Linked DNA regions of Canis lupus familiaris. The protein of the gene in region 1 purifies or fractionates together with the protein of each later gene. This does not show direct contact. Links are inferred from orthologs where the notes say so. Each region holds a gene or a part of one and is shown in the gene's direction. Other genes may lie near its edges.

Evidence for each region.
Region 2: the proteins of STX7 (region 1) and STX6 purify together in Homo sapiens (affinity purification with mass spectrometry; 3 studies listed by BioGRID and IntAct, counting the BioPlex papers as one, with this or other methods). This does not show direct contact. The link is inferred for Canis lupus familiaris from reciprocal best matches to the Homo sapiens genes STX7 and STX6.
Region 3: the proteins of STX7 (region 1) and VAMP3 purify together in Homo sapiens (affinity purification with mass spectrometry; 3 studies listed by BioGRID and IntAct, counting the BioPlex papers as one, with this or other methods). This does not show direct contact. The link is inferred for Canis lupus familiaris from reciprocal best matches to the Homo sapiens genes STX7 and VAMP3.
Region 4: the proteins of STX7 (region 1) and STX8 purify together in Homo sapiens (affinity purification with mass spectrometry; 5 studies listed by BioGRID and IntAct, counting the BioPlex papers as one, with this or other methods). This does not show direct contact. The link is inferred for Canis lupus familiaris from reciprocal best matches to the Homo sapiens genes STX7 and STX8.

Annotation. Positions count from the first base shown.
Region 1 is NC_049222.1:25,722,807-25,728,629, reverse strand, and holds the start of STX7 (syntaxin-7), read left to right. Parts: upstream 1-2,066; 5' UTR 2,067-2,200; intron 2,201-2,534; exon of another isoform or gene 2,535-2,754; intron 2,755-5,568; 5' UTR 5,569-5,642; coding exon 5,643-5,727; intron 5,728-5,823. UniProt on the Homo sapiens protein: May be involved in protein trafficking from the plasma membrane to the early endosome (EE) as well as in homotypic fusion of endocytic organelles. Mediates the endocytic trafficking from early endosomes to late endosomes and lysosomes.
Region 2 is NC_049228.1:14,370,516-14,376,116, reverse strand, and holds the start of STX6 (syntaxin-6), read left to right. Parts: upstream 1-2,247; 5' UTR 2,248-2,454; coding exon 2,455-2,489; intron 2,490-5,601. UniProt on the Homo sapiens protein: SNARE promoting movement of transport vesicles to target membranes. Targets endosomes to the trans-Golgi network, and may therefore function in retrograde trafficking.
Region 3 is NC_049226.1:61,912,672-61,918,298, forward strand, and holds the start of VAMP3 (vesicle-associated membrane protein 3), read left to right. Parts: upstream 1-2,273; 5' UTR 2,274-2,375; coding exon 2,376-2,377; intron 2,378-3,677; exon of another isoform or gene 3,678-4,220; coding exon of another isoform or gene 4,221-4,553; exon of another isoform or gene 4,554-4,749; coding exon 4,750-4,831; exon of another isoform or gene 4,832-4,918; intron 4,919-5,627. Other genes in the region: putative protein SCAMPER, read right to left, coding at 4,221-4,553. UniProt on the Homo sapiens protein: SNARE involved in vesicular transport from the late endosomes to the trans-Golgi network.
Region 4 is NC_049226.1:34,296,888-34,302,738, reverse strand, and holds the start of STX8 (syntaxin-8), read left to right. Parts: upstream 1-2,497; 5' UTR 2,498-2,619; coding exon 2,620-2,636; exon of another isoform or gene 2,637-2,647; intron 2,648-5,851. Other genes in the region: CFAP52 (cilia- and flagella-associated protein 52), read right to left, coding at 1,730-1,799. UniProt on the Homo sapiens protein: Vesicle trafficking protein that functions in the early secretory pathway, possibly by mediating retrograde transport from cis-Golgi membranes to the ER.

The DNA of each region.
Region 1 (5,823 bases):
CTCTCTCTCCAGTCTCAGTGTAATTCCTTTGAATATTCCCCATTCCTACAGAGTTTTCTTCATGGCATAGTATTATGAACACATCACACTTTAGTTTAAAATCCTTTAATAGTTTAACTCCTCTTAAATATTCATTTATTAACATGATACAGAAAAGGTTTTTCATTATATAAACTCCACTTACCTTTCCAGTCTTATGTTCCTCCAATCTAAATAAATTTATATAGAGATCCCTAAGAGTTTGCACTTGCCTGTGAATTTTTATGTGCTCTTCCTTTTGCCTAAAATGTCTTTTCCCATGTTATCTTCCCAGTGAACTCTTACACATCTTTCAAGATTCTGGTAGCACTTCCCCTTTGGAATGGTCCCTGACCAGACACTAAGGCATCTTCACCCCTAGGCTCATGGCAATCTGTGTATAAATCTTTATCACAACACTTCTTATAGTGTCCTGGGAAGGATCTCACGCCTTGAGTTCCTTGAGGGAAAATACTATACACCCCATCTTGATATCTGCAGCTCTTGAAATAGTACCTGGCTTATGGCAGGTTCTCAATGAACATTTGCTGAGTTGATGAGATAGTAGGAAGAACTAAAGAATCTGAATTAAGTCATCTGGACCGGTGCTGCTTATAATTATTCGTGTCCTTTTGACGAAGTTTCTTTGGCTTTCAGTTCCTTTAATCTATTTCCCAAATGAGGAAGTAGAACTAGATTTTCTGTAAGTCCTCCTCCAGCTTTTTTCGTTTGTTTTTTTTTTATACTTTATAGCTGAAACTATTGCCTTATAGAAGCTGAAATACTTTATCTGAGCAAATAATGCTTTCTAAAAGTTTAAGAATATTGAAAAAAGGGATTTCACATAAAAATCTGAATTTCCGAAAGTCTGCAATCAGTGCTAACTGAATCATGCTGCCTTTATTTTTTTAAAGATTTTATTTATTTATTCAGGAGAGACACAGAGAGAAAGGGGCAGAGACACAGGCGGAGGGAGAAGCAGGCTCCATGCAGGGAGCCTGATGCGGGACTCAATCCCAGGTCTCCAGGATCACACCGTGGGTGGTGCTAAACTGCTGAGCCACCCAGGCTGTCCTCCTGTTTCCTTTAGAAGGAATGAATTTCTTTTGCTTGGCCAGCAGACCCACTCTATTGCCCCCCTTTTAGAAGCAGAATAAAGGTGGCTGTCTATTAAAACACTTGTACTGCAGTTTACTTCAGGAAAGATGTGAAATAGGAAATATTTCTGGTTCCCCTTTTTTCTGTTAAAAACAGAACAATTAAAAACAAACTGAGAGACCCTTGTGTTTCTTATTCCTGTCTGACCTCACTCTCTTAGGCACATATGTATGTACACTACTAAACAACCTAGAGTTGGCTCAGATGGTACCAACTCAAGACATTTCGTTTTGATTTTTTTCACCTAAGTGCATCTGGACATTTCATGTCCTGATGATCCTTTCAGAATAATAGTGTTGCCTTAATACAGGCAAAGGCCAACCCATTCTATCTTCTAATTAATTTGCTGAGTATTTCTTTCACCCAATGCAACTGATGCATTTATCTAACAATTACATTATGTTTTAATAGTTACCAGTAGAACATTCTCTGCTTTTTTCAAACCCTGCTGAAACAACACTCTACCCTTCAAGGATGCTTGGAACGACGTGCATGTGCTATGAAAACTAGTCTACTAAATGGGCACACGAAGGTGACTCTTCACTTATGCTGTCTTTGTTCCTGCTAGCATTGCTTATTTGCGTTACCATTTTTTAATGGAGCTGTGGATACGTTCCACTGCAGAGTAAGGACAGGCTGGGCAGGCCCTGATGGGGCAGGCTGAAGGCGTGAGCCTGGGGGGGCCGCCATCACCCGATCAGCGCAGCTGCTCTCCATTCCCTCCTCTGGTTTTTTGCCGTCTGTAAGGCTAGGCCTCGAAAAACACCTCCTTTGCAAATTTTTTTTGGTCCCCCGCCCCCATTCCTTAGCCCAGACTCGGAGGGGGCGGGGCAGAATGGTTGTCACTCAAGCCCATTGGCCAACGAGAGGGGGACGAGCCCCTCCTCCTCCCCAGAGCCGGGTCGCGGGCATGCGCACTGGGCGTCCCAGTGCCACCGCCCATCAGCTGAGAACCGTAGCTGGGGGTCGGGTGCCGGTGGGTGCGGCTGGCCCGAGGAGGAGGAGGCGGCGCGGAGGAGCCGGGGTAAGAGCAGCCTGGGGGGCGGGGGGTCGGATCCCGCGTTCTTGAGGCACTAAGTCCCCGCGGCGGCCGCGCCTCCTCGTCTGTGCGCGTTGCCAGTTGGCCGCCGCCTTACGCTTTGCGGCTGTGGTCGGGAGCCCGGGGGGGCGGGCGCTGCCCAAACCGGGAGCGCCGCCGCGGTCCGCGCCCCGGCCCATCCCGCCCCCCCCCCGGCGCATCCCGCCCGCCCCGGCCCATCCCGCCGGCCCCGCGCCCGCCGATCCCGCGAGCGCTGGCTCCGGTGCCCCCGCGGGTTGCGCGCCCCGGGGCGGGGCCGGCTGGGGCGGAGCTCGGGAGTCCTGCTGCTGCTGCCCGGAGCGGGTCACCGAGCGGTCGCTTCCTCTTTACGACGCATGGAGTTAGAAAACACATTTTAAAGCTCTCTTCCCTAACACAGAGGAACTGAAACTGGATGGCTCGAGAGTAAAGGAACCGTGTAACATCTGTCCCTTCGGAGGCTCCTTGCGGTTGGTTTTCTGTCTGGCTTCAAGACACGCTACCTTTTCTTTGATCTCAGTGTATGTCATTAATGATTTACCCAAAACCTTTAAGAATGTGTAAAGTATTTCAAGATCCGCCTCTCCTCCCCCCACCCCACCCCCCCTTATTGTGTTTTAGGCTGTTGCTTTTTAAAAATTCAGACACAAAGAAAAATACCTTTCTGGTCAAATGCTATATATTTTTTCCCTCTCCGGTTTCGTGTATTTGCTTGGCTTTCCTATAGATACATTGATTTTTTTGTTTGATTTAGATCAGTGTCTTTTGGCTATGACTATATATAATTTAAAACTTTCACAGAATCTGGAAGAAAATGATTCTGAAGGGCTCTGTTGTTGAGTAATGTTGCAGGTGGACATTTTTTCAGGAGCCTTAGCCTCACCCGGGCAGGGCAGGGGCTTGTAGCAGTGTTCAGCCGTGTCTTGGGATGTGGACCGCCTTGCATTGAAGGCCGCTTTGGGAAGTTTGTCTCAGACGGTGACTAATTAAGAATTATGGTCTAGTTTCAGACTTTCCATAGATGTTAAAATGATACCACAGTACCTCCGAATGTCTGCATCATTTTCCTTCAGATGTTTTACTTCTGCTGCTCCCAGTGGTAGAGTTATATCCTCATTTTAGTTAGGATATCAAACTTTAGCCAAGATCTAAGGATGGAAAAATAAATATATAAAACATCTGCAGTAAGTCTGAGTAAAGTTTGCTGCGATTCCATTTAATTTTAAAGTTTAGTGTATGGAAGGGTGAAAAGTAACCCTTGGTATTGTGAGTAAAACCAAATAGTATAAAAATTTAACAGATGGGGATGCTGAGCTAAAGAATTCGGTTAATTTGGTTTAGATAGAGAACACTCATGTCTATCATGGAATGATCGTCTCCCCATTCATGGAACATCCACTATGCGCCTTATACTGTGGACTCTGCAAGGTTGACAAGGTTGTCTTGTGTTTATATCACCAAAGTAGGAATAGAAGGCAATTTACTACCTAGATCATTTTAGAGTGGTGAGTAGCATGATGATAAAGGAAGTTAGATCAACAGAGAGTGCCGGGGTGGTAACTTCTCATTGCAGATCCGAAGTCACCAAAGACTTACCTAGCATGCCATGAGACTTTGCTTGTATAAAGGTGCCAGTCATGTGAAGATCATGGGAAGAGCCTTCCAGGGATAGGAAATGGCACTCAGCAAAGGCCCTAAGGCAATAATAAGCCCAGTACATTTAGGATCTGAAAGAAGACACTGGAATGTAGTGTCTGAGGATTGGTAATGTTTATTCTCAGACTAGGTTTGTGTTCTTAGGAAATAGACACATTTATTCATTCAGTCTTCAGATATTTGTTAAACACCTATTACATAACCCAGTACTTAGACTAATGTAGCACACAGACAAAACCTTGCTCTTCTGGGTACTTATATTTTGGGGTAAGGGGTAGAGTTAAGTCCATTGTTTTATGCCAGTACACACTATTAAGAAGGTGAAACTGACTATTTCTATTGCTCTATCCATGCTTGATTTATAGAGCATGAGATTTATGTTTAATGAGAGTCTTAGGATTCTGCAGTGTGTACAGTAGTAGTACCTGGGAGTAGTGCTTGACACAACTTTTCACAGTTTTCTTTGTTCTTTTATTTGTGCTCTACAGAAAGTCTTGAGAATATCCTTGTTATGAGTATTGCCCTTTTTTTTTTTGTTTTTTGTTTTTGTTTTTTTTATTTATGATAGTCACAGAGAGAGAGAGAGAGAGAGGCAGAGACACAGGCAGAGGGAGAAGCAGGCTCCATGCACCGAGAGCCCGACGTGGGATCCCGGGTCTCCAGGATCACACCCTGGGCCAAAGGCAGGCGCCAAACCGCTGCGCCACCCAGGGATCCCCGAGTATTGCCCTTTGATCCTCTCTTTCTTTCTTTCCCTTTACAGTGCTTATATATTTTCATAGAAATGTAATTGTTAAGATGTTTACATAAGCACTATTCAGTAGAACTTTATGCTGTGATGGAAATGTTTTACATGAACTATACAAATCATTGGCCTCACATGTGATTTTTGAATACTTGATAGAGCAGGTATGGATAATGAGTTATGTTATTCTGAGCAATAAAACTAGGAATTCTGAATGAGCTTTCAAAAATATTCGTCAAGAGTGCTTAAAGCTTGTTATATCTGGGCTAGGTGCTGGAGACTGGTGTGGACAGCAGCTATCAGAATAACTTGGTTTATTCTGGTCTATATGCAAAGATTATAAACTTTTAAGTCATTTTATAGTTAGCTGTAACTATAGTGTATCTGTGTATATGTTTTTGCAGTAAAGTCAGTCATTTGACTCCTTTTTTTCATATTTCATCAAAAGGGCCAACCATTGTTGTCGCCTAGATAGGACTATTAGAATAAGAAAGAAAAGGACTAAACTACTCAGCTGTGTTGTTACCTTGATCTCATGTAGCTACCCCAGCTCTGTTCCTTATCCTAAGAGCAGAGTCTGCAGAAATGTGGTAAATTAGTTTTTTTTTATGAGTGGGTTCACTTGTCCTGAGTTTTTTTTATACAATGAAGCAATATGTTTTAGTTTTTTAAAAATATAGGCTGTAAGATACTATGTTTCAAATTTTAGCTCTTATTTTTTTTTAAATTTTTTATTTATTTATGATAGTCACACACAGAGAGAGAGGCAGAGGGAGAAGCAGGCTCCATGCACCGGGAGCCCGACGTGGGACTCGATCCCGGGTCTCCAGGATCGCGCCCTGGGCCAAAGGCAGGCGCCAAACCACTGCGCCACCCAGGGATCCCAATTTTAGCTCTTAGATTAAGCAAGTTACTTATTCTCATTATGCCTCAGTTTTTTAGGTGACTGCATAGAAAACTGCCCAACCTGCCAACATCTGATGAAATTAGTGACTAAGCAAATCAACTATGTCTTACACTGTGGGAGTTGGTGGTGACCCTGCTCTACTGGCCCAGCGTATCTCTTCTAACATCCAGAAGATCACACAATGTTGTAAGTTGAAATTTAAGTTGACTTCACTGCTTTCAATTCTTTTTTTTTTTTTTTTAATTTTTTATTCATGAGAGACACAGAAAGAGAGAGAGAGGC
Region 2 (5,601 bases), on another chromosome or scaffold:
CAGTCAGTCCATTTCACAGATGAGGACACTGAGAGACTTAACAGCTTGCCCAAGAAACCATAGCCAGAAGCAGCAGAATTGGGATTTGAGCTCAGGCAATCTCGCTCCAAGTAGGGCTCTTAATCGGTATTCTCATCTGCCCCTCAGTTACATGTGTTTGTTGAATGAATGAACAGTGATCCTTTTTCGCCTTCCCACCTCAATATCTCTGTAGCCCAATTAAATGGTTCACTCCCCAAAACTTCTTTTTCCCACATCTGGCCTCACTGCTTCTTCCGGGTCTCGGAGAAGCATGGAGACTTTCACCTCTTTCCTCCCTAGCCTCATTTACTACCTACCTGCTTACTCGTACTCACTAATCTTTGTCTTATACTTTTCCTTAAGCTCTTCTTTCTGGCTTACCTCTTCATTCAGGACATGGAACCCAAAACCACCCCTCAGATGATGGTGAAGGCCCTGATAAGACCTCCCACCAGCCCAGACTGCCTAGACCTTTTGAACTAAACCGTTACTCGTGCCTGCACACATAGACCATAGAGTGACCTCTGAGATGACCTACAACTACCATTACTTCATTATAATACTACAATATCTGCCCAAGGAGGAGCCTAACATACAACACATATAGGCATGTTTCCTTAAGGCACTTGAGCAACCTTACGCCCACCTCTACAAGGCTTCCCCATCTAAATATTCATCCTAACCCTAAACAAAAGGAACCCATTCTACCTCTCGGGAAGTCATTCCCTGTGATCTCCTTATTTGCTGCAAATAATTTTTCAATGTGTGGCTACTCAATATGGTGCAGTTTCTGACTCACCAAGGCACAAACTCACGTTGGTTTGGTTGCACCTTTACAATTGCTGCCCCACTCTTTGGGAGACTAGGGGCTTACATGCATTATTATTTAACCTTCATGATAATCCACAAGCTAAATATTATTATTCTGTTTTCTGGATGAGAAACCAAATAACAAAATCCAGGTTCAAACAGGGTTTGTCTGGCTCTGAGGACTCTTCCATCTCCAAAAGGACTGGTGACCTTGAGAAAGTCACTTAACCTCCAAGAGTCTCAGATTTCTCATTCCTAAAATGAGGATAATAATGGTAATTACCTCATTATGAGAGCAACCGAGATAACAGCACAGTCCCTGACACACAGAAAGTGCTCAGTGATAATTAGCAATTAAAGTTCACAAAGCCTATAGTGTTCATGGATAGCATGAGAACTGGCTAATTGTAAGGACTGAAATGCTATCTGGAAGGGCTCTTGAACCACCGCTGGGAAGAAATTGCCATACCTGGCCTCCTGTTAGTCTCTCAAAGGAGGGCTCTCCAGGGAAGTGCTGTACACTGTATGAAAAAAATCACCTTACTGCTCACTTGGAGAATGCTCATTAGAAAATACATGCATTCTGGTGGAGAGTGCACAGTATCCGTAGCTCTGCCCTGCCTAGAGTGTGTGACCACAGGAAGTCTTGAAACCTCTGAACTTTGGTCATTTACAAATTGGAAATAATGCCTTCTCCCCAGGAATATTGAAATAACGCACATCCAGCCCATTAGGGCATTGAGGAACACATAGTAAGACCTACATAAAGGAGTTGTGCAACATAATCAAGAGTCAGATAAGGTATATGAGCGAGCTTTATGGCAAGGGCGAGATGGAATTAATTATAAATCAGTGAGAGTGACAAAACATGAGAGACAACTCTGGGAAACGAACAAGGGGTAGTGGAAGGCGAGGTGGGGGGGTTGGGGTGATGAGTGACGAGGGGGGCACTTGGCGGGATGAGCACTGGGTGTTATGCTATATGCTGGCAAATTGAACTCCAATAAAAAAAATAAAGTTATACCATAAAAAAATTATAAATCACATGCCATCAAAATAAAGTGTTAAAAGTGCAGGAAAGGTAAAAGGATAGTACGAATCAGGTCCTAGCGCAGAGCTTGAAACCCTAATTGGCCCCCCCAGTAGGGAGCAGGCAGCAGGGCGGGGCGGGGGCGGGGCCATACCGCGGGACCACGCCCACCCGCCTCAAGCCCCGCCTCCAGGGCTGCGTGACGCGCCGCCCAAGCCCCGCCGACGGGGGGCGGGGCTGGCCCTGGTCACGTGAGCGCGGGTGCGGAAGTGGTGCAGCGGGCGGCGTCTGTGGTTGGCCGCGGCCGCGGGTGCCGGGGGCGGGGTCAAGCCGGCCAGACGCGCCGGGAGGAGCCGGGGGAGGAGGCCGGCGCGGGGCCCGGCGTCAGGTTCGGGGATCCGGTGTGCCGGCCGAGCGAGCGCTGGAGCCGCGGCGGTCCGGTGCGCCCCGGCCTGCGCGCGCAGCTGCTCTGGGTTCCCCGGGCCGAGGCGCCGGCGGCTGCGGCAGGCCGGTGGGGTGGGCGGAGGGAGGCTCGGCGGGCGCGGGCGCCCTGTGCGCGGAGCAGGCGCGAGGCAGCCGGGGGCCGGGACGCCATGTCCATGGAGGACCCCTTCTTTGTGGTGAAAGGGTGAGTGTCCCCGAGGGCTCCGCTGGAGGAAGAGGTGGCGGTGCTGCCCGCCTGCACCTCCCCGCGCGTCGCGCTGGAGGGGGAGGGGAGACAAGTGGCGGCTATAGGGACGGCTTAGCTTGCAGGGCCATGACCAAGCGTCCAGAGACGTGCCCTCCCCGTCCTACCTGGACTGTGAAACCCGCCGTGCGCCCCGAGCCAAGCCGCTGGGGCAAGGGGACGCCTTTAGGGCTGTGCGCGGAGATGCAACTTGTTTGGGGTTCGAGGGGATCAGCAGCTCTGCAGGCGGCGGGGGAGACAGTCGTCCCAGCCCTCGCTGGGGTTCTAGTGGAGCACGGGGCCCTACTTCGAAGGAGGGAAAACAGCATCTGGGCAGGAAAAGGGAAATGGCCCTCCTGAGCTTTGTAGTTGGCGTTGCTGGGGGGTGAACTCCCATTGTCCATTGAGTTTGGAGCGCCGGCCCCAGAGCGGTGAGACCACAACACGCCCAGAGGCGTCTGAGCACGTTTGCAGGCTGGGTTGCGGGGGAGCAGGGCTCCGGCAGACAACTCAGTTCAGTGGGGGCGTTTGTACTGAGTAATAGGAGGGGAGGGAAGCAGTCGTTCGAACTCGGCGATGATGTTGGAAGGAAAACAACATGAAATCAGCCAAACTAAACTTTCCTCAGCTTTCTATTAGCAACTGGGATTTTCCCACAGTGCTAAAGGAAGTGAGGGCTTTCTTTTTTAACTCCCTGATTTCATCCAGGCTCTTTGACAGGTTTCCCCCATTTCTTATCCAGCCTTTCAGAACAGGACTGCCTTAACTTATTTTTCCTCCCCCCCCCCTCCCCCGCCCCCTATGAGCTGTCCTGACTCCATCTTTGATTGCTCGGTTGTTTGGAGATACAAACTTTCTTTGCATTCTGTTATCTTTGGAGCCATTAGGCAAATGCAAAAAAGATGGATTCGCATGCTGTTGTAACTTGTCAGCTTTATGTTTTAAATGTCAGTCATGGAAAAAATCCGAGAACTACGAAGATCCCAGGTACTAATAACCACGAAGTGTCCCTTTGCTTGCAACTAGTTGCTGCTACCTTCCTATTTCTGTAGTGGTAAAAGCTGACCAGTTGTGTTTTTTTGAGGCTTTTTCTCAGAAAATTTACATGGTTCTGTAGGTGAAGTCCTTTGTTATCCATGATACAATAAAAAAAAAGCTTCATGACATTTCCCTAAAAGGTTTTTCTCTTCATCCTAAGGTAGATGGGGAAATGCAGAGTCATAGATTGATCAGTAATATGTGGCTCTCTACCTCGAAAATGTGTTGTTAGATTAGTTTAAGGGGTTAGTTTTTGAATGTTAAAGCCGTGTGTCTTTCCCTTGAATGAAAGTTCTTAATGCTTAGGTTGCAAAGATTACCTCTGGCAGTGGAAGCCAGGGATAATCAGAAATTTTTCGTTTGTTTGATTTTTAGTGAAATCTCTGAAAATGCTAAGCTCTGCCATCTTGGTCTTTTTTTCCTGGTGGTATCCAGTTGAGTCTCTCAGTGCTCGCTCACTGATCAGATATCACTGCTGTATTAGAACATTGGCCCGGATTCTTGGTTGACTTTTGTATCCTTTTGGCTCATGTCCTTAAGGTGTCTGAAGGAAGGGATTCACAATACCTTCTGCTGTAAAAGGTAAAGTTAGCCACATGGGTGTGTCCAGACTGTGATAGAATATCTGGGGGACTGTGTACCTCTGTTTATTAAAAGTATTGAAAATGCATCGCAGAATGTGGAAAGATTAAATGCTTAAATTGTGGCCCTTTGCCCAGAAGCTGATGGTTCTGAGAAGCAACTTACCCCCCAAATTAAGTAGAAATGACAGGTGATAAATTAAGCACTGAAGCGAATCTTACAGGTTAAGTGCCCCGGAAGTTCTGAGAAAAGCAACTCATTAGAAATGGTTAGGATTGGAAAAGCTTTTAGAAGGAGTAATAGGTCTTGAATTAGGTTTTGAAGATAGGTAGAATTGAGATAACTCAGGCCTGTGTCTCATCTGGACTCTTATTAAAAAGAGTCTCTTAATTGGTCTGCCTACTTCTAGTCATCTGCCCTTGATTATATTGGGTTAGTGCTGTCTAAAATATAATATGGGCCATATATGTCATTTTATATTCCCTAGTAGCCAGGTTAAAAAGTAAAAAGAGAGGCACTTGGATGGCCTAGTCGGTGGAGCATGCTACTCGATCTCGGAGGCATGAGTTCAAGCCCCACATTGGGCATAGCGCTCACTTAAAAAAAGTAAAAAGAAACTGGTGAAATTAATTTTAATGTCATCTTTAATGTAGTCAAAATATCTCAGCATGTGGTTAATATAAAGATTATAACGGGATATTTTACTCTTTTGTACTAAGTTTTCTAATTTGGAGTGTATTTTACACATATAGCCCATCTCAATTTGGACACTGAATTTTTCATCAGAAATATTTGTTCTATATTTAGAGTTCGTTAAATTTATAGAGTTGAAAATGTAGATTCACATACCCAAACATTCCAAACGTACTTGAAAATTTTCCAGTTACTGAAATGCTTATCAGTTTTTAAGTTGAAATTAATTGAAATTTAAAAGGTAGTTCCTTGGTCACACCAGTGCACTGCAGGCGTTCAGTCATCACATGTGAGGCCCACATTGGGCAGCAGAGGTATAGCTCTTGGGCAGGGGCTCCCTACTTAACATTAGTTAGTGGCTGGCTGTTGCATACAGAATAAAGTCCAAGCACTTCTTGACCACCACGATCCAGCCTTCCAGACCTCCACCCACTCTGCCTACCCACAGCTCAGAGTTCCAGCAAGGTCAGACTGAGTGATTGTGACCACAGTACTGGGTGCTCTTACTCCACATACACTCACTTTGCCTGGTTCACCCACTAAGTTTTGAAGATTCAGTGTAAGCATCTGCCCAGCCTCCAGGAAGTGCTTCCCCTTGGCACTTGTAACACGTTTTTGCACCTCTTCCTCTGGCTGTCTTTCATTATTATATTAGACTCTGAGCTCTGAGGGTTGGGACTGTTTATTTTTCCTGTATTTCCAGCCCAACACCTTGAATATGCAGCATAAATGTTAAATAAATACTCGTGGTGGTGGTGGT
Region 3 (5,627 bases), on another chromosome or scaffold:
AAGATAAAGACTCATGTAGAATTAGGAGGGTTCTTAATGGAGGGGATAGAAAGTAGGTTCGAAACCTACCGGTGTAGCCTACCAGTACAACTGTGAATCCTAGGTGAGGTACAAATGCACTTCCACTGAAATGAAGCATTTCTGACCGCTTTTTCTTGGTTGTGAATCTTAATTTTGAATATAAGATGATAGGTAAGCGCAGCTTTCTTGGATAATCTGAATTCCCAAGTGCCAGGAGTAGGATTTCATTATAAAATTAATAGCTAATCTTATTCTGTCTCCTGAAGATTTAATTGCTATTCTTGTTACCCATTTGAAATCAGCTGTACTGTGTGAACGAAATAAAGACAATAACTCGAACCCCTCTCTGGCTGCACGGTCGCTTATGGCAGTTCCACACAGTAGTTGGCGCCCAATGGGGGGTCCCTGAGACTTGCATGTAAAACTAGTCTAGATGTCTTCTTTTTTGTAAGTTTTATTTTTGTAATTGTGCATGTAAAGCATCATTGAATCAATGGATCTGTTGAAGAACTCAGCTGCTGGAAACCATGCAAAATGTTTTGAATTGCCCTTAAAATATGGAAAATGTTTTCTGAATGCTTTATATTCTTTCTGCTGTAAATTAAAAATGAAGAAAATTTCCCCATACTATGTGTGTGCTTTGCTTTAACTTGACCTGACACTGAAATCCAGGGTGACCAGCAGGTTTCAAACCCTTAGGAGATGATTTCATGTATTTCCTTAGATCCAGAGACAGTGTCTTGGCATTGACTGTTACAGAGTTTCAGACATGTCCATGAAAGAAAAACTTAGGAAGCCACTGTCCCCTAGAACACTTGCTTTTAACTGTCTTCTCAGGCACCTCTCAACATACCAGCTACTTGAAACACAAAGACACCAATCTGAATTCACCACTGCTGCTGAAAACCTCTGCTGTTCTCTATTAAGATCCATCTTCTTTTCTGAGAATTCTGTCATTATCTGCTTTCCTTCCACTGCAGAGCATCACCCTTTCTCCCTGGTAGCGGGTGGGAGTGCTACTGCCAAATCTCCTGTAGGGTCTCCCCTAGCTCCCTGCCCTGTGGCTTCCAGAGCCCTTGCATTTAAATGATAGTTTCCTTTCTTGTCTATCCTCACTCCTTACTCTTATTTTCACCTGGGCCCCAGCCTGCCCCTTCTGGTTGGGCGGTTGCAAACCGTGCCCATTTCCACTGTTGCCTTTGTTCATGTTTGTTCATCCCTTGCCTGGAAAGTTCTCTTCTTATCTACTTACCCAACTCAAATCCCACCTCCTCGGTGACACTCTTATTTATTCTAACACACACCGACATTCCCCTTTTCAAATTATTACATTGACAGTCGGAAAAGACAGTTCAGTATTTAAGTTTTTGGTTTTTTGCTTGTCTTTTTTTTCATTTCTCATCTCATCTGCCGGTTGACCTGGCAGTGTTCTGGGTGTTTAAGGTAGGCGTCGTCTACGTTAGGAATACTTCCAGGAACAACTTTCAGTACGTTGCAAAGAACCTCGCTGCATTCGGGTTTGGGCCCCCGCCTACGGCCCCGACCAGAAGCTGAGGACCTGCTCTGCGCGGGGCCCGGGAATACAGAAAGGTAGAGAGTAGGGAAGCCCTGGGGGGCCCAGGGCGTGATCCTGGAGTCCCTGGATCGAGTCCCACGTCGGGCTCCCTGCATGGAGCCTGCTTCTCCCTCTGCCTGTGTCTCTCATGAATAAATAAAATCTTAAAAAAAAAAAAAAAAAAAAAAAAAGCGTAAACACAGCTAGCTCCTCCCGTGCAGGCTCCCGTCCCCAGATCCTCATACAGTGTGCACGACAACCGAGCACACGAGGCGAGGGTGTCTAACCCCATAACGCCCGCGATAAATACCCCAAAGAGCCTTCCTATCTCGACAAGTTTCCCGGGGGGGGAGGGGAGCGCGGCGTCCCCAGGACCACTCGGTTCGGGCGGGACGGTCGGCAGCCAAGCAGGACTGTCACGGCCAGGGGAATGGCCTCCGGGCCCAGGACAAACTACCAGCCCCCGCCCTCTATTCCCTGCACCTCCCTGCACCCTCCCCGCACAGGGCCTAACGCGCCGCGTCCCCCAGAGTCGCAAAGGCGGCTGCGGGCAGAGCGCGTCCGGCACCACCGAGCCAGAGGCGCAGCCCCGCCCCTCGGTGGCCCCGCCCCCAGAGGCCCCGCCCCCCGGAGGCCACGCCCCCCGGAGGCCACGCCCCCGCTGGACCACGCCCCCTTCCGGCGCGCCCCTCCGCGGCCGCGCCCGGCGACGTCATCGGCCCCGCGCCGCCGCCCCGCCCGGCTCCCGGCCTTCGGTCCCGCTGCGCCGCTCGGCTGACCGTCGCCCGCCGCCGCCAAAATGTGAGTGACGCGGCGAGACGCGGGGCGGCCTCGGACCCCAGGGGGCGGCGGCCCGCGGCTGGGACCCTTCCCCGGCTCGGCTCCCGCCGGCAGCCGCTCGGACGCGGGCCTGCGCAGCGGCTCCCGAGGCCCAGGGGTGGGCGGCGGCCCCGGGGGTGTGCGGGCTGCAGGCGGGCCGACCCAGCCCCGCCGCGCACCCCGCACCCCGCACCCCGCAGCCCTGCGGCCGTGGGGCTGTCGCGGAAGCGGCGGCGGCGGGGAGCCCCAGGGCTTCCCGGAGCTAGGAGACGCCCCACCCCGACCCCGACCCCGACCCCACCCCTTCTCCCCTTTCCCTAACCCCCGGCCCAGGGTCCCCGAGAGGAGCGGTGGCCACTGCCCTAGACCTGGGAGCGCCTGTCCGCCGCCTGGGGCTGGGCTGGGCTCCGGAAGTTGCGAGGGAAAGAACCTCGGCCCTGTGCCTACGGGCTCCAGTGCTCAGAGTGGACTCCGGAGCAGAGCCGTGGATCTTCCCTCTTTAAGCAGAGGCCGCCTCGAAGTGGCCCTTGAAACCCCAAGTTTTCCCGCAGTAACATTCAGAGGAAACTGTCAAGAGTCACGAGGACCGTCTAGCCCCCTCCACACTGTTCTTGCTCGTCTACGGAGGAGGAAGGCATGGGTACTTTCCCGGGTTCCCTCCGGGGACTAGGGTCGCTTCTCCGGAGTGTACCTGCCGCGGCTGCCGTGCCAGTAAATCACAATGGTTAATTAAGGTCTAGATCGGTGGAATTATAGGAGACCTGGTCTAAGACAGGTTCCACTGCAACCAGCACTGTTGACTTTCTAAATCCCACTTTTTGCTTCCAGAAAATGGGGTTGATAGTAGTACACACACACACCCTCAAAGAGTTGAAAGGACTGAATGAGAAAAATGCTAAGTGAGAAAATGTGCCATTGCATGGTTCTTCGCTATTACCTATCAGAGAATAAAAATAAAGTGTAAGGGCAGGCATGGGATCTGCTGCATCCCTGGTCTTTGACATGTGGTAGGTATAAAATAACTTGAATCAGTGGGTGCATCAGTAGCTGTTGTAGTCAAGGCCCAGGCTAGGTGCTGTCTTGGGTACAGGGAAGAGACCTGTAAGACACAGGAGTCTGTGATCTATCAGGGAAGGCAAGACATTACAGATGACCCTTGAACAATATGGGTTTGAACTGTGCAGGTCCACTTACAGGTGGGTTTTTTTCCAATAAATACAATACAGTAATGTAAACGTATTTTCTCTGTCTTACGATTTCCTTTTTTTTTTTTTTTTTTTTTAAGATTTTATGTATTTATTCATGAGAGACACAGGCAGAGGGAGAAGCAGGCTCCATGCAGGGAGCCCGACATGGGACTCCATCCCGGGTCTCCAGGATCAGTCCTGGGCTGAAGGTGGCGCTAAACTGCTGAGCCACCTGGCCTGCCCTTGTCTTACGATTTTCTTAACATTTTCTGCTCTAGCTTACTTTACTGTAAGAACACAGTGTATGATACATATAATATACAAAATACTTGTTAATCGACTGTTTATGTTATTGGTAAGGCCTTTGGTCAGCAGTAGGCTATTAGTAGTTAAATTTTGGGAGGAGTCAAAAGTTATATGCAGATTTTCAACCATGGGGAGGGGGAGGGGTCGGCGTCGGCACCCCAAACACCCCACCTTGTTCAAGGGTCAGCTGTGTGTGTATGTGTGTGTGAAAAATGAAAGCATGGCCAGCCAAGAAACGGAAGCGATAAGGACTTCAAAGCCACAGTGGTCAAGAAAGATCTGGCTGGAGAGCAATAGGCCTTCAGTTGAGGATTTGAAAAGAGAAGTACCTTTTAAGAGAGGAAGCACTGCTTCATCTCACCTTTCCCACTCACACCACCCCCTCCTCCTTGCCTCTTGATGTTCCTGACCCTGTTTATATAAATGAATATATTTCTCCAAACTGGAAAAGTGGCATTCTGTAATTGTTCATAACCATGAAAACAGTTCTCGCCACAATGAGAGTTCAGGAGAGTACTGAGTGCATTTAAGTAGATGTGTGCATTTAAATAAAAAACTGGAAGGTAGAGTTTCTCTATCTTAGGATCCCTGATCTTAAGATCAGGTGCCTCAGTGATAGAAAGTGATATTAAACCTTCACTTGAGACCCTGCTCACTTTTAACATATGATGAATCCTGGAAATTATAGAGGAATTAGAAGAAATGTCATTAGAACCTTTGTTCCTTACTGTAGGAAGGGTTTCTTTTTCTGCTTAAGTTCTGAACCTTTAAACAGTGATGCCTTGGGATAATGTCTTCATACTTATAAAAAATGTATCTGGAATCATAGTTTACTCATGCTTGTGCCTTTACCCATTTCAGGTCTGCAGGTGCAACCCCAGGGTCAAGTGCTGCCTCTGGCAGCAACCGAAGACTTCAGCAGACACAAAATCAAGTAGATGAGGTATTGCTCTAAAATGTTGAAAACAGTGAATTTTAAACCAACATGGGAACACTCTGGAAATAAATCTTTTTAGAAAAAGTATCTTAAAAGCATGACTGAAAAGGAAATTTTGGCTGTTTCATAACAAATGAGCTAAGCTTCTGAGAAGTCAGTACCCAAATCACGTATCTAAACCACAAATACTCCTCCCGAGAACATTCTTCCAAGGATCACTTTATAAAATATATTTTGCCACAATTAAAAAAATTGGAAAGAAAAAAAGAACTAGTTTATAAAATAGGGTAATTGAGTTTTAAGGATTAGGTCTAAAGTTTGTTCAAGCCAAGACCAGTCCCTCCGACCAGATTTTTCATCAAAATGCTGCTTAAAGTGTAGCCTGATGTACAGGTTACCAGGCATGAGCAAGCCTCTAGAACTCAGTTCCAGCTGTCGCCCATTCACGTACATAAGGCAGATGCTGGCAAACTGGTCTAGCCCAACAAATCTATACTTGTGGAATTCTTGAACTAGAGAACCCTCACAGCATCTTTTGTTCAGCTCTGTATATGCAGACCCACAATGGAAGACTGTGAGAAATTCAGATTAATGTTTCTATAGCCCGGAGAGCTACCAATGTCCAACAAAGACATGTTGATCTTTCTGGATTTAGCTGCTTTAAAAAGCAGAGTTAAGTTTAGGTTAGACTGCATTATTAAATCATTTGGTAATGTTTTGGTCTTATGGTTTTGTTTATGAACTGAATTCTGAAAATTTTTACGTTTCCACGGTAAGAAACCCATTCTGATTCCATCGGGGA
Region 4 (5,851 bases), on another chromosome or scaffold:
ACACATGTCTCCTATAGTGAATACATACAAACTCACCCCCCACTGCTCCCTACCTCTCACTCTCACTCTCTCTCTGTCTCTAACACACACACACACACACACACACACACACACACCTTTATTTAATAACTATAATGGACTCATACCATACATAATATTGGGCAAGTTGCATTTTACACTTAATATATCTTCGACATCTTTCCTTCCTAGATCTATCTCATTTTTCTTAAGGGTTATGTAGTATTTTGTTGTACAAAAGGACTATAATTTTAAAAATAATTTATGTGTATTTGTATGAAAGGATACAAATTGTCACAAAACCAACAAGGTAAAAATAATCCGATTAATTTGGGCCATTTTAAGAGGCCAAGATAATTAGTCATGGCAATGGAAAGCACTGGAATATAATGGACTATATATTTACTCTTAGAGCTGGACAACACAGCATGAGCTCAGTTGTAGAGCTCTGTGTTTGAAGCTCTGCACTGGTCACTGGTGTGACCCCCTGCACTGGGCGCAGGTCCCTTACTCCCTTTACCAGTGACCTTGTCTCCAGCTGTAAAGATAGTCCACTCCTCAGGTCAGGTGTACTAAGTACATTCTCTATCTCTCTTTCTTTCCTTCTTTTTCTTTCTTTCTAAAGATTATTTAACACAGAGAGTGTTCCCTAAGGCAGTAAACATATTTATTTGAAAGAGAGAGAGAGAGAGAGCCCTGAGAGGGCAAGCCAGGGGAGAGGCAGGTAGAGGGAGAGGCAGAAAATGGGGGTCTGATCCCAAGACCCCAGGATCATGATCTGAGCCAAAGTCAGATGCTTAACCGACTGAGCCACCCAAGCACCCCCTAAATGACCTCTTTCTATCAGAAACTATAAAACTAAAACGAAGAGTCAAGATACAAGTCCCACCTAAAACTCTAGTCTTTGATTGTTCTGCAACTGCATCACTACAATTTAAAAACTTTCAGATAACACAATGCACTTAAAAAGAAGTTTGCTTTTTCTAAAATGCAACGCGTTGCTTGTTTCCATCCTTCACACACAAAATCAAAGAGCACTTTCCGAACCCTTAATGTTCAAACTAACAGGAGCTCATAAATAAGATGTGAGCAGAACCAGCAGTCCTCCCCGCTTCCCACCCACCCCCCACCCCCCGCCTTGACCTGAGCATCTCTCCCCTCCAGCTCCCCCTGGCGTCCTCTCGATCTTTTATCGGGGTCTGAAACCTTCCAATAGGAGTTCTGGGGTCTGGGGACTAGACCATCCCCTAAGGCGGGTGCTCACACCCACGTCCAGCCCCCAGCCCTTTCTCATGGCACATCAGCTGGGATTCTACGAGTTTCTGGGTCCAGGGGTCGATTTGGACTTGGCAGTCTCGCAGTTCACGGCGGGGGGGGTGTCTTTGGGGGCTGCGTGGGGGATTAAGGCCGAGGCAGAGCCAACCTAGAATGAAAAGGATGACGGGCACCCTAGTCATCCCTTCGGCGGGGGGGGGGGGGGGGGTAGGGGGGGGAGACCCTTGTCCCTTCTAGGTGCTGTGAAGCCATCCCAGTCCTTGAGGCTTAGAACGAGGAGGTGACTCCTCGACTCCCCGGGACCTTAGGGCAGGAGAGAGCGTGGCTCTGGCTCAGTGTCCCGCGCTACCTTCCAGGTGGCCCCCGGTGTCCCTGTTTGCACTATTCGTCCCCGGGGCTTGCAAACCGCCCAGCCCGGACACGCTCGAGGCCTCACCGTTGAAGCCGATCACGGCCTCGAGCTCCAGCTCCGCCACCTCGGCTTTGGGCGAACTTTGCTTCTCCATCCCCTGGAGCCTGGGCTCTCCACTCCCTCCTCTCGCCAGCGGCGGCGCAGCGTCTCCTGGTCGTTATGGTAACGGACGTGCGCGTGCGCACCAGGTCCGCGGCCGCACGCACTGGCGGCGGCGGCGCAGGGAGCTCCCGGTGCAAGAGCAGCCGCGCTCCTTGCCCTCACTATTTCCCTGGAGGTGTAGGGGCATTGAGTGTGCTCGTTCCCTCCACGGAAAAACGTCTGTGACTTCTTCCCCGACCTATATAACCAAGCACCGTGTCATTTAAGGAAGGCCGCTATAAAGTAATATATAATTGCCACTTCTTTGGGTCTCTTACTTGAAGCAAGATTGCAAGGAATCTTTAAGCTTTGTGGCGGTACACCTCTACATAGAAAAGTAACTCTGAGTGCGTTCTGGCAGATTTCTACAGTTGTGCAGCTATGCCCACCGTCTTGTTTTTGCTTTGAGCAGGATGACATTTCAGATGCTCGCCGGAAAATGCTGAAGATTTCTGTCCAACGCTTTTATTTAAATCGCGCCGGGTCGCTCGCGTCTCGCAGCGGGGGAACATACGGGATTAGACTGCTCCATCCTGGTGTTCCCCGGGGGGACGTGGGGGCCGCCCCCCTTTCTGGACCGTCCCTGCGAGGCCCTGGTGCACCCTCCCCGCCCTCCCCCCCCTCCCCCCCGCCAGGCCAGCTCCGGGTTGCGGTCGCGCCCGGGCGGAGCAGCGGGGTGTGAGCCGCGCCGGCCGCCGTAGTCCGCCGCCGCGAGCAGGAAGTGTCCGAGGGCGGCGGCGGCGGCGGCGGCGGCGGCGGGCGGAGACTGCACGATGGCCCCGGACCCCTGGTGAGCCCCGGGTGAGGGCGGCCGCGCCGAGGGTTCCGGGGATGCGGTGGGGGCTTCAGGACGAGGGAGCGGCAGCGAGGCCCCTTCCCGAGCCCGGGGCGGGGGGGTCGGGGGGAGGACCCTGCCGCGCGCCCCGCAGCCTCGGCGCCCGCAGGGGCGGCCCCGCAGGCGGGCCGGGTGGTCTCCGGGCAGCGGGGGGCGGGGGGGGGCAGTGCGCAGGCCCGGAAGGTGCCCGGAGCCCTGCATTGGCTCGCATCGGACCGCGGGCATTTCGCGCCCGGCCCGGATCCGCGCTGGCGGCTGCGGGCTTCCCCGGACTCCCCCGGACTCCCCGGGACTCCCCGGGCAAGTCCAGGCGGAGTGACCTTTCTCTGCGATGCGGCTGCAGCTGGTGACCTCGCCGCCGCCTCTCGCTTCACCCGCGGAGAACCCGGGTTCACAGCCCACCGCCACCTGCGCCGGTTAGTAACCAGTCGGCACTGGGACCTAGATCTCTTGGGCCCTTCCGAAAACTTGGAGGAATCGCGGAGGGGAATTGCGCGTGTTTGTATGGCTTGTGATGGGCCCTTACCTGAGTCCGTATCCGGAAGGGCTGTTTGTACTGCAGCAACTTTGCAGTAGAACCAGAGCTCATGAGGGTCGTTCCTCCAACACCCTGAGTCCCAAGGACTGGATGGTGACAGACACGAGCTCTCGTCCCAAGGAACAGATTGCTACAGAATTACGGACTGAAGCTGTTTTTGTTTTTAAGATTTTATTTATTTATTCATGAGAGAGGCAGAGACACGGGCAGAGAGAGGGAGAGCCTGATGCGGGACTCGTTTCCAGGACCCCGGGATCACGGCCTGAGTCCAAGGCAGACGCTTAACCACTGAGCCACCCAGGAGCCCGGAGGATTTTTGCTTTTATGAAAAAAAATGGGGAAAGCAAAAATAGCATTCGGTGTTTGTTTTGCAGCAAGCTGTCATGGAGACCTTGCACCTCCCAACCCTCCCCTCAAGCTCCTTCCCTGAGAACTACATTCAGCATCTCAGCGTCAAGCTGTCATAGCTTTGAATTGTGTCAGTGAGCATCCAGGCTTTCACTTAGTTTATTTTGTGTCTCCATTAGCAAGGCGTGCCCTAAGACATCAGAAAAGCCCTAAGGGAGGTTATTTTGGGGGGTTTAGGAAAGCTCAAAAGATATTCCGTATAAAATAATGGTAATTGTTGGTCCCTTTGCTTTACATTGTTTCGGCTTATGAAAGGTTTTGTAGAAAGACTACTTTTGGATAGTGAGGGAAACCTGCATGTTTTACAAAGCAGGGAACATTTCAACCATGTCATTAAGTATTTACTGAAAACATGATTTCTTTTTATGGCGCACAATAGCGCATTCTACGAATAACCATAATTTATTTCCCTCTCTGTAATGTTAGAGTATGTTTTGTTTAACTGTTGCAAAGACTGCCCCCGTTGTTCCATTTCTTATTTCCTCCTCTTGCTCACTGCAGACGGGACTATTGAATTGAACGGTATGAACATTTTTAAGGCCCTTGATACCTATTGCTAAGTTGTCTTCCACCTCCTGGAAGCTAACCCCCTCACTTTACACTTAAGGTAGGAAATAAAGCTCAGAGATGGTTATCCATTTAGACTGGTGGAAGCGATCATTGGACCCCCAAGCCCCTTCCCCAGTTTATGGAGAAAACACATAATGTGCCCTTTTACTCTCATGTAGTTTGACCTGGTGGCTTTCTCATTTGACTGTTGACCGTGAGAAGTGCGGGAACTCTGCTGTGTTAGTATCCACTACCTTGCACAGTGGGTTGCTAATCAGGAAGGTAGAAGGGACTATGGAACAGGGCTATGAAAAAAACTATAAACACAGACTTGACTACGTACAGCTTTGCCTTTGGCCATTGAAAAATTGTAGGTCAGTGATGCTCTACTCCTGAGTGGCGTTCTAATGTTCACTAATGGGATACAGCAGTGACTGCTTTAATGGCATCAGAGCAAGTGATAAGCGCTGTCTCTGAACTAGTTATTTGCTAAAGTTTTTTTTTAAGTTTTTAAAAATTTATTCATGAGAGACACAGAGAGAGAGGCAGAGACACAGGCAGAGGGAGAAGCAGGCTTCCTGAAGGGAGCTGGATGCGGGACTCAATCCTGGGACCCCGGGATCACACCCTGAGCCGAAGGCAGATGCTAAACCACTGAGCCATCCCCAGGTGCCCCTGAGATTTTTTTTTAAGTAAATCTCATACATAGATGAATTTGTGCATTCGGTGTTTTTATGGTAGAACAGGGGCTCAGTTCACAGTCTGGGAACTTCCTCCATGTCCCCCTTGGTGGGTCCTCAGTCTCTGCTATGGTGTCACCATCATCTAGGTCACTTAGGCCTGAGAACTCCAATCATCAGCTTTTTCTTCACTTCTCTTTTTGGGTTGTTAAACCTTTGGGTTTTCCCCAAATGCCTCTGGCATCTCTTTGATACCACCTTTTTCTGCTCTGGGCCCATCCTTTCAGCTCTGTGCCTTGCAGACAGTAGATACTGGTGACCAGTTATGGAATCACAGAGCTGGAGAAGTCTCCTGGTCTTCTGCTACTCCTCTCTCATTCCCAGCCTTTTGTGTAAACAAGTTCAGGTGGATTTTCCTAAACTAATACTTTAGGCACTTGTGTACTTGAACCCGTGATGAGGCTGGCCATTACCATCACGCCTGTTTTCAAGGCCAGGTTCTCATACTTCCATACAGATTGGAAAACCCCCTGGGGAGTCTTTCTCAATTGCTCCTGTCCTGATCAGACCCCATTCTAGTTTAAGCAGAATGCCTGGGGCTGAGTGCCAGGACTTGGTTGCATTGTTTTTGTTGTTTGAAGATTCCTCAATGATTCCAGTGGGTAGCACATTTCTAGAACCTCCGCTTGTCCAGGGCTAACGTGAGAATGTGAGGATTGGGAACAGAACGTCTGGGATTTTGACCTGCATTTCACAGGACCTCTTCAAGGGCTCACTCCCCTACATCTCTAAAGCCCTCTTGTCAAGTCTCACCCGATGATCCTGGTGTTCGAGTCTCTGCAGAAACTAGCTTCCCCGCATCTGTGACCCTGTGATACTGTATCCTCCTACCTAGGGCCACTCAGCCCAATGTGCCAGGCCTGTTTCCTTCCTTTCACCTTTGCTTGTTTCTTGTGTCTTTGGCCCAGTCCAGAATGTGCCTCTCCCTCCTGCCT